Linked DNA regions of Drosophila melanogaster. Each later gene encodes a partner of the first gene's protein in a complex. Each region holds a gene or a part of one and is shown in the gene's direction. Other genes may lie near its edges.

Region 1 (3,755 bases):
GCAGCCAAACAGGCACACGTTGAGCTGGCCGCCAAGATGAAGAAAAGAGATCCCGGTACGGCGCCCAAACTGGGGGATCGAGTTCCCTATGTGATCTGTGCGGCAGCCAAAAACACACCCGCTTACCAGAAGGCCGAGGATCCGCTGTATGTGCTGGAAAACAGCGTGCCCATCGATGCCACTTACTACCTGGAACAGCAGCTGTCTAAGCCGCTGCTAAGGATCTTTGAACCTATTTTGGGCGACAATGCCGAGTCAATTTTGTTAAAAGGAGAACACACGCGCACACGAACTGTGGTAACATCCAAAGTGGGTGGACTTGCTGGATTTATGACCAAGAAAACGTCGTGTTTGGGCTGTAAATCCCTGATGCCCAAGGGCTACGAACAGGCCTGTCTGTGTCCACACTGCGAGCCACGAATGAGTGAGCTGTATCAGAAGGAGGTGGGTGCGAAGAGGGAACTGGAGGAGACCTTCTCTCGCCTATGGACCGAGTGCCAGCGATGCCAGGAATCCTTGCACGAGGAGGTCATCTGCTCCAACAGAGATTGTCCCATCTTCTACATGCGACAGAAGGTTCGCATGGATCTGGACAATCAGGAGAAGCGGGTGTTGCGATTCGGCCTGGCCGAGTGGTAACCATTGCATGAGTTTAATGAATTGTTTAATCCTATAATTTAATAATTATATTACTAGAAGTTATTACAAAGTTTCTTTCGGTTCGTGGATTTTTTGCGCAATCTGCAATTTGAAAAAAGCTGTTGACGTTCCCTAGCTGGCGATGCTTTGGACACACATTTTTTACACAGGGATCTGGGGGTCTGAGGACTGGCTAAGTATCTACTTGCGACTCTGCAGGGTGTTGGACAGCCAGTCCATGGCCTGGTCGAGTCCCTCGCCCTTGGTGGCCGACGTTTTGAATATTTGAAATGTGCGGTTCTTTAGGTTCTCCAGTCCTAACGCATGATGGACCTCGGCGACGGTCATGCATCCGTCCATGTCCTGCTTGTTCGCCAGGACGACCAGTATCGCGCCGGCCAGCTCCTCCTCACGCAGCATGTACAGCAGCTCGTCCTTGGAGATGCCAATGCGGTCCCGGTCCGCCGAGTCCACCACATAGATGATTGCGTCCGTGTTGCTGTAGTAGCAACGCCAATAAGGTCTATAATGGAAATAGCACGAATTGAGATTAGGATTACCATTCTTAAAGGCCAAATAGATATATGTACGTAGCCTGCCTAAAGAAAGAACTATTAGCTATTTTAAGTTAAGTTGTGGATGCAGATGTTTCCTATCTTATCAGCTACAATTATAATGGCTTTTTGGAAACCCAAAAGGCTTACTAAACTACAACCGAAAATATGTCTTCTAGATATTAAATAAGACTTGGGTAATGCCATCACAATACTGCTCTCGTGTAACCAACTCACCTAATACTTGTCTGTCCGCCCAAATCCCAGACCTGGAACTTGAGGTTCTTGTAGGTGACCTGCTCCACGTTGAAGCCGATGGTGGGTATCGTGGTGACCACCTCGCCCACCTGCAGTCTGTAGAGGATCGTGGTCTTGCCGGCGCCGTCCAGGCCCAGGATCAAGATGCGCATCTCCCGGGAGCCGAGCAGTCCGCGAAAGTAGCTGAGCACCCCACCTGGAAGAAGAACGTATGATTTTTATGACCAGACTTCGTCACCGGGTGTCGCCGGAACGGGGAGGTTCCCCACGTCCATGCTCCGTGCTGTACAAACCCATGATTACGGCTGAACTTTGTCTAGTGCTGGCGCTGCCTCTAAATGCTTAAGTTTAGTAAACCTAGTTAATTGTATGTGGTGCTACAATTAATACAAAATCGCAGAAGTCTTGTTTTCACTTTTTTTTGGGCTGGAGAATGGTTTCGTTTTTGCCATTCGCAGGTCACGCGAACATGACGTGTCACAGCGTGCGTTCAGCACGAATATATTTTTGTAAAAAATAACATTTTAATAACTTTAAAAAAACGTTTAATATCATTAATTAAATTTAAATAAATACCATTTTAAGGAGTGCATACAGATTAATTATAAAAATATTCACAGTGACTTGTGCTGAACGCGCCCACCTTTATTGCCGGTTCACAGAGTTGCCACCCTTGCGTGACTTTTGTTATAGAGACGGCCGCCATTAGAGTTTTGCCGTCGCGTCGCGTTGTGAAAAGAGAAGAAAACCTTCTGAAAACAGTGCTAATAGGTAATACTTTCGGTGCCAAATGGAGCAATCCGATTGCGTTCTTCGCGTGCGATTAGCGTGCAGTTGATTTCGGCCGATTTGGCGTATCTTTAGCCGTTATTTTGGGTTTGCACCGGGCTGCGCGAAAAAGTGTGCCAAAAGAGGCACACAAAACGGTAGCTACGATTACATATCGTGGCTATAGCTTCTTTAATGTTGGTAAATACAGTGCATTGACGTGTGTTCCATCTGCAGATTAGGCTGCACCAGTTGCTGGATATCGCTATTGGATAAAGTCAAGAAAGGAGCTGCAATATGGCCTCGCCCTCTCCGGCGAACAGTCCCATGCCACCGCCACAGGCGCCCAGTCCGATGGCCCCGCCCTCGCAGAGTCCCGCCCCCTCGCCGCACAGCCCGTATCCGCACCAGCAGCCGGGTCCACTGCAAGGACCTCCGCCACCCGGACATCCCGGTGCCTACGGACATCCCATGCAGCACGGACCACCCGGCCAGGGTCCACCCGGGCATCATATGCCACCGCACCACCAGGGGATGAGTATGTTCTTAAACAACCCAACACCAATCGCTCCAGTCACACGTAATTATCCGTAGTTTTCTCAAAAGGTCCGCACATGGGAATGCAGATGCCGCCGACGGGACCGAACATGTCCCCCTACCAAACCCACGGAATGCCACCCAATGTAAGTGACCCCCAAGTCTAGCCGTAGGAATCAAAATAGTAAGCCTACTTAGATGTCTCAGTTCTCAAATCAAATCTATGCCATCTGGACAAACAGTAGCTCAGTGCAAACATTGAAAATATTTCCATCGATACTTTCAAAATTTTTATAATCAGTAATTAGCAAGTTTTTAAAATACTTAATACGTTTGTAAAAGATCCTATAAAATCTACATAGTATTCTAAACGGTAGATTAAGGATTTCTTTAAATTTCTTTATTTACTTTACTCTATATACAGATATGGGTACATAAATATCTAAATTCCATGTTAGACTAACATTTTTCTGAGGGATGCTATATGAAAAAGGTATAAACAATACGAAATTCGTGAAACTTTGTGAATAAGTATAGAAATACTAAATTTCCAAGTAGGTAATCTGTATATTAAGTTGTTTGCCAGCTAAATGCTTAAAATTATGGTATCATACGGTGTTGTTTTTCAAAGTCTCAAGATTGACGGGCTTTCCCGCCTTTTTGACGTGTATCGTGGAACAGCTGCCGGCGATTAAAGCTGGAATATATCCGAAAGCTCCCCATTAGCAGAGCTTCGAGCGCCAATTGGCAGTGCAGCTGACCCCAAGCTTTTCAATTAAGATCGTTGTTGCCTTGCCTAAATTACTTCTGCACCGGCTTCCCTCCCACGGACTCCTCCTGGTCTCCCTTACGCAGAAGGTCTTCGATCTCCTTGCGCAACTTCTCTGTGCCGGCGCAGATTAGATCCGGCTTCATTATGTCGAATGGTCCGCCAAAGGGATGTGTTACCACGCCTCCCGCCTCCTTAACCAACAGGGAGCCGGCGGCACAATCCCAGGG
Region 2 (3,755 bases), on another chromosome or scaffold:
GCGCAACTCCATGCATCAAGTGCTCGAAATTGCGACGCGCCTCATCCAAAACTGCGGGTGACAGAATGGTGGGAAATCCGGATCGACGCTCCTTGGGAGAGGTCTCCGGCTTGGGAGCAGTGTGATTCTGTCCAGTCTCGCAGCAGTAGCCGAATTTTCCAGCCGGGAGATCGCAAATTTGGGGCTTTTCATGGCTTTCCATGCGAACGTGGGCGGGACACTGGATTTGGGGCACGCATCTTATACCATCGCTGCAGGGAAGGCATTTTTTCAGCAGACCACTGGTAGCTACACAGAAAGACCAAATTTGTACAATTTACGAAATAAAAATAACCATAAAAATATAATTTTAAAATTGAAGAAACAATTATACTTTTATATTATATTGTATTTAATTTTACAAAAATTTGATTTTGTTAATTATGTAAATATGAAAGTTTTTTATGCAGTTGTTTTCAGTGTAGAGCGATTAACCGTAACTTATATTCACAGAGAGCGGACAAGAACACTTTCACCCTTTACGCCATTTTGAAATTGCCGAGATATTCAATTTATATCACTAAACGTACATATGTAACCAACCTTTTTCGGGTTTCTTAGAAGATTCAGTGGAAGTGGCCAGAGGTGCAGGAGTCTGCAAATCAGGAACTTCATCAAAACGATTTTGGCGCACAGAAAATGCTGCCGCCTGCAACTCGCTCAGTTGCGTCACAATAAGTAGCAACAAAATAAATAAAATGCGACTCATTATGCGTTTAATGAAACATTTGTTGGCTTATACTTAAAAAAGAATCGACAAGCTCAACCTAATCGTGTTAAATTGAACTTAAAATGCCGCCATTTTGCACTCGATACCAGGAATGCTCGATATCACAGCAAGTCGAAAGCAGTGTACTGTAATTCTCGTACGTGTGCTGTTAATGTCAGTAACATTTTACTGTTAAGCGCAACTTCTCTTATTAGCAAATTGTGCAAGCAGTTCAAAAAATAAAAATGTTCAATATAGAATTTCATTAATATTATAAAAAAATAAACAAATATTTTTTTAGTTGATATCCTTGGCAAAAAATATTTTTAAAACCTATGAGTAAAAATCCGGAAGCCAGTAAATCGAAAACCTAGTGTTCTACCAAAATAAATTTAATAAATTTTAACAATGTTTGTGACAATGATCAATGCATAGGGCGACTATTGATATTTAGAGTTTCACAAAAATTAAAATGTATTGCATCAATTAAAATTAATAAAAGAATTTGTTTTTGTGGATTAATTACGTTGATGTTGTTTACGTCTATTTTAAAATTGCTTATGCCGGTAGTTTTGTATGGAATCGATAATAAGCAAACCAAAAATCACGAATATATCGATGTTTAAACTCGCTGTAGTTGCATAGTTCTGCCACTCTAAATTCAAGTGGTTTGTTAACGGGGGTATAAACTTTCAAAATTGTATTTACTCTCTTATAACTTACCAAAATTTTATTATTATTATATTATTGCAATTATTGCAATTTTGCAATTTACCTTAAAAACTTTAAATTGACGTATTTCTAAAACGAAAGCGCTGGCCACGAATAAGGCTTTCTAGTTTTTATAACTTTTACATCTTCACAAACTTTTACGTGCTTTTATTCGAAAAAAATGGAAAATTTTAGCACGCCGTTTAATTTGAGTTAAGTTTCCGTTTAAAATACCGCAATAAAGATGGCGTCCCAGAGTAGCGAGAAATCGATATCGATGCCAACTCATTTTTGCGTCACACTCAAATATCGCTAATTCGCCAGCTATTGATTACCATATATATTTAAAAAGCGAACCAGAACGTAAAATAAATATTCATTGAAGTCCAATAAATAAAAATAGTATAAAATATGGATAAAGCGATAAAATTTCGTGCTAGAGCTATCGGGGGCTATCGAAACGAGCACCGATAATGTATCGCAGTGCCAAATACTCGTACGTATCGATACTATCGTGCGTGCTACCCGCTCTAATCTTGTACAGGCTCGCTTCTTCGTCATGCTGCGAATTTGTTCGAAAAATAAGTGAAATACAGCGCATTAATAGTGAAAAGTATGTGCAGCCTGTGCAGGGCCCAACTGGCGATTAGCCGCGTGTGATTGTGGCCGCCGTATCAGCGTTTTGGCAGCGCCCAGCCTGGCGAAAAACCATCGAAAAAAAGAAGAGAAAAGAACGCCAGGCGCAGACAGACAAGACTTGCATACACTACTACTTGAATCGTTTCATTTCGTTCCGTTCGTATACCGAGTTTGCTGCCCTGTCCCTGTCTTCTCACGCGAGTTCGTTTTTAGTATATATAGCCAGTCTGTGGACGGTCGTCAATGCGTGAATATTCTTCTATGTGTAAGTGGTGTGCGTGTATGTAGATTTCTGGTTAAGAAAAGCCCCAAAAACCAAAGCGCCCCGCAAAATATATATTGAGTCTTCTTGGCCCAACAACAAATCTGCCGCCGGACTTTCGCCCGAGGGCGAGTGAAAAATTCAGTTTCTCTCCTCTCGACGATGCACTTTGGAGGCTGTGTGAGTGTGTGTGCGAGTGAGTGCGTGTGTGTATACATATGCAAATGATTGGATGTCGAATCCTTGCATCATCATCATCTTCATAAACACTTGGCGAAAAACCGCAGGAAAACGCAAGCAGCCGAACAAAAAAAGAGAGCCTCTCAAGACAACGGCAGCGGCCAAAAGTGAACGCGCAACAAACGCGGCCAAGCAGGCGCGGCAATTATTTATAAATCTTAAGCGTTAGCCCCCCTCTCTCTCCCACTCACGAAAAGAAAATAAGTTAAACAATTGTGAGATGATGCCCCCTCGTCCATTCCATTCCAGTGCTGTGTAAACGCGAAAAATCGGCATAGAAAATAATTACGAAAAAATCATTACTGTGCTGCCCGTTTCATTCGTTTCACACAGAAACTAATAAAGCGAGCAAGGGAGAGAGTGAGCGAGCGAGCGAGAGCGCCATATGCCTTCAGCCTGGATGGCGAGCAAGTGCAAGTGAGACGGAAAGGGATACGGCGTGTGCGTGTATAGCCGCCAAATGTGAAAAGAGAGAGCGAGAGCGCCAACGAGAGTGGATGCGCTCAAACTGCGAGAGCGGTTGCGGCAGGGTTGTCAACGCACTACGATTTGCCCACCGTACGCGGCGGAAAATAAATTGTTGTGGTATTGGTGCTGCCTGTTCGAGTGAGCATGTGTGTGCGTGTGTTAGTAGCGGACTTTTCAATACACAACAGCCCACGAACGAGTACAAATTATTTATGTTTAACCCGCTCGATTTAGGCCCAGTGATATAGGACTGCCCCCTTTAATAAGCCAGACCCCCTTTGCCAAATGCTAATCCCCCGTTTTTGATAACTTGCAGCTAACATAACCTCAAACTCGCCGCTGCAGTCGTCGTCATCATCAGCGTCAGCGTTGTTGTTGTTGGTGGTTACCGGTGTTCCATCAGTAGCCGCCACACATCTGGGAAAATCCGATCCGGAAAATCTGGGAGATCGGGAGCAGCGCAGCCAGAAGCCGATGAGCAGCCATGAATGAGAAAATAAAGTCGCCGCAAACACAGCAGCAGCAGCAAGGTGGCGCTCCCGCCCCTGCTGCCACGCCCCCATCGGCTGGAGCGGCTCCTGGTGCCGCTACACCGCCAACCTCGGGCCCGCCCACACCCAACAACAACAGCAACAACGGTAGCGATCCCAGCATCCAGCAGCAACAACAAAATGTTGCCCCACATCC

What was found.
Region 2: brm (region 1) and osa share a complex: the UniProt entries of both Drosophila melanogaster proteins name them as parts of the brahma complex.

What each region holds. Positions count from the first base shown.
Region 1 is NT_037436.4:15,981,270-15,985,024, reverse strand, and holds the start of brm (brahma), read left to right. Parts: upstream 1-2,155; 5' UTR 2,156-2,222; exon of another isoform or gene 2,223-2,456; 5' UTR 2,457-2,516; coding exon 2,517-2,757; intron 2,758-2,813; coding exon of another isoform or gene 2,814-2,825; coding exon 2,826-2,902; intron 2,903-3,136; exon of another isoform or gene 3,137-3,557; coding exon of another isoform or gene 3,558-3,755. Other genes in the region: PolD1 (DNA polymerase delta subunit 1), read left to right, coding at 1-639; Arl1 (ADP ribosylation factor-like 1), read right to left, coding at 841-1,162, 1,431-1,647, 1,745-1,748; CG17027 (uncharacterized protein), read right to left, coding at 3,558-3,755. UniProt on the Drosophila melanogaster protein: Transcriptional regulator. Acts as a coactivator, assisting one or more dedicated transcriptional activators of ANTC and BXC homeotic gene clusters. Can counteract the repressive effect of Polycomb protein.
Region 2 is NT_033777.3:17,716,564-17,720,318, reverse strand, and holds the start of osa (osa), read left to right. Parts: upstream 1-1,968; 5' UTR 1,969-2,363; intron 2,364-3,384; 5' UTR 3,385-3,552; coding exon 3,553-3,755. Other genes in the region: Pxt (Peroxinectin-like), read right to left, coding at 1-288, 583-748. UniProt on the Drosophila melanogaster protein: Trithorax group (trxG) protein required for embryonic segmentation, development of the notum and wing margin, and photoreceptor differentiation. Required for the activation of genes such as Antp, Ubx and Eve.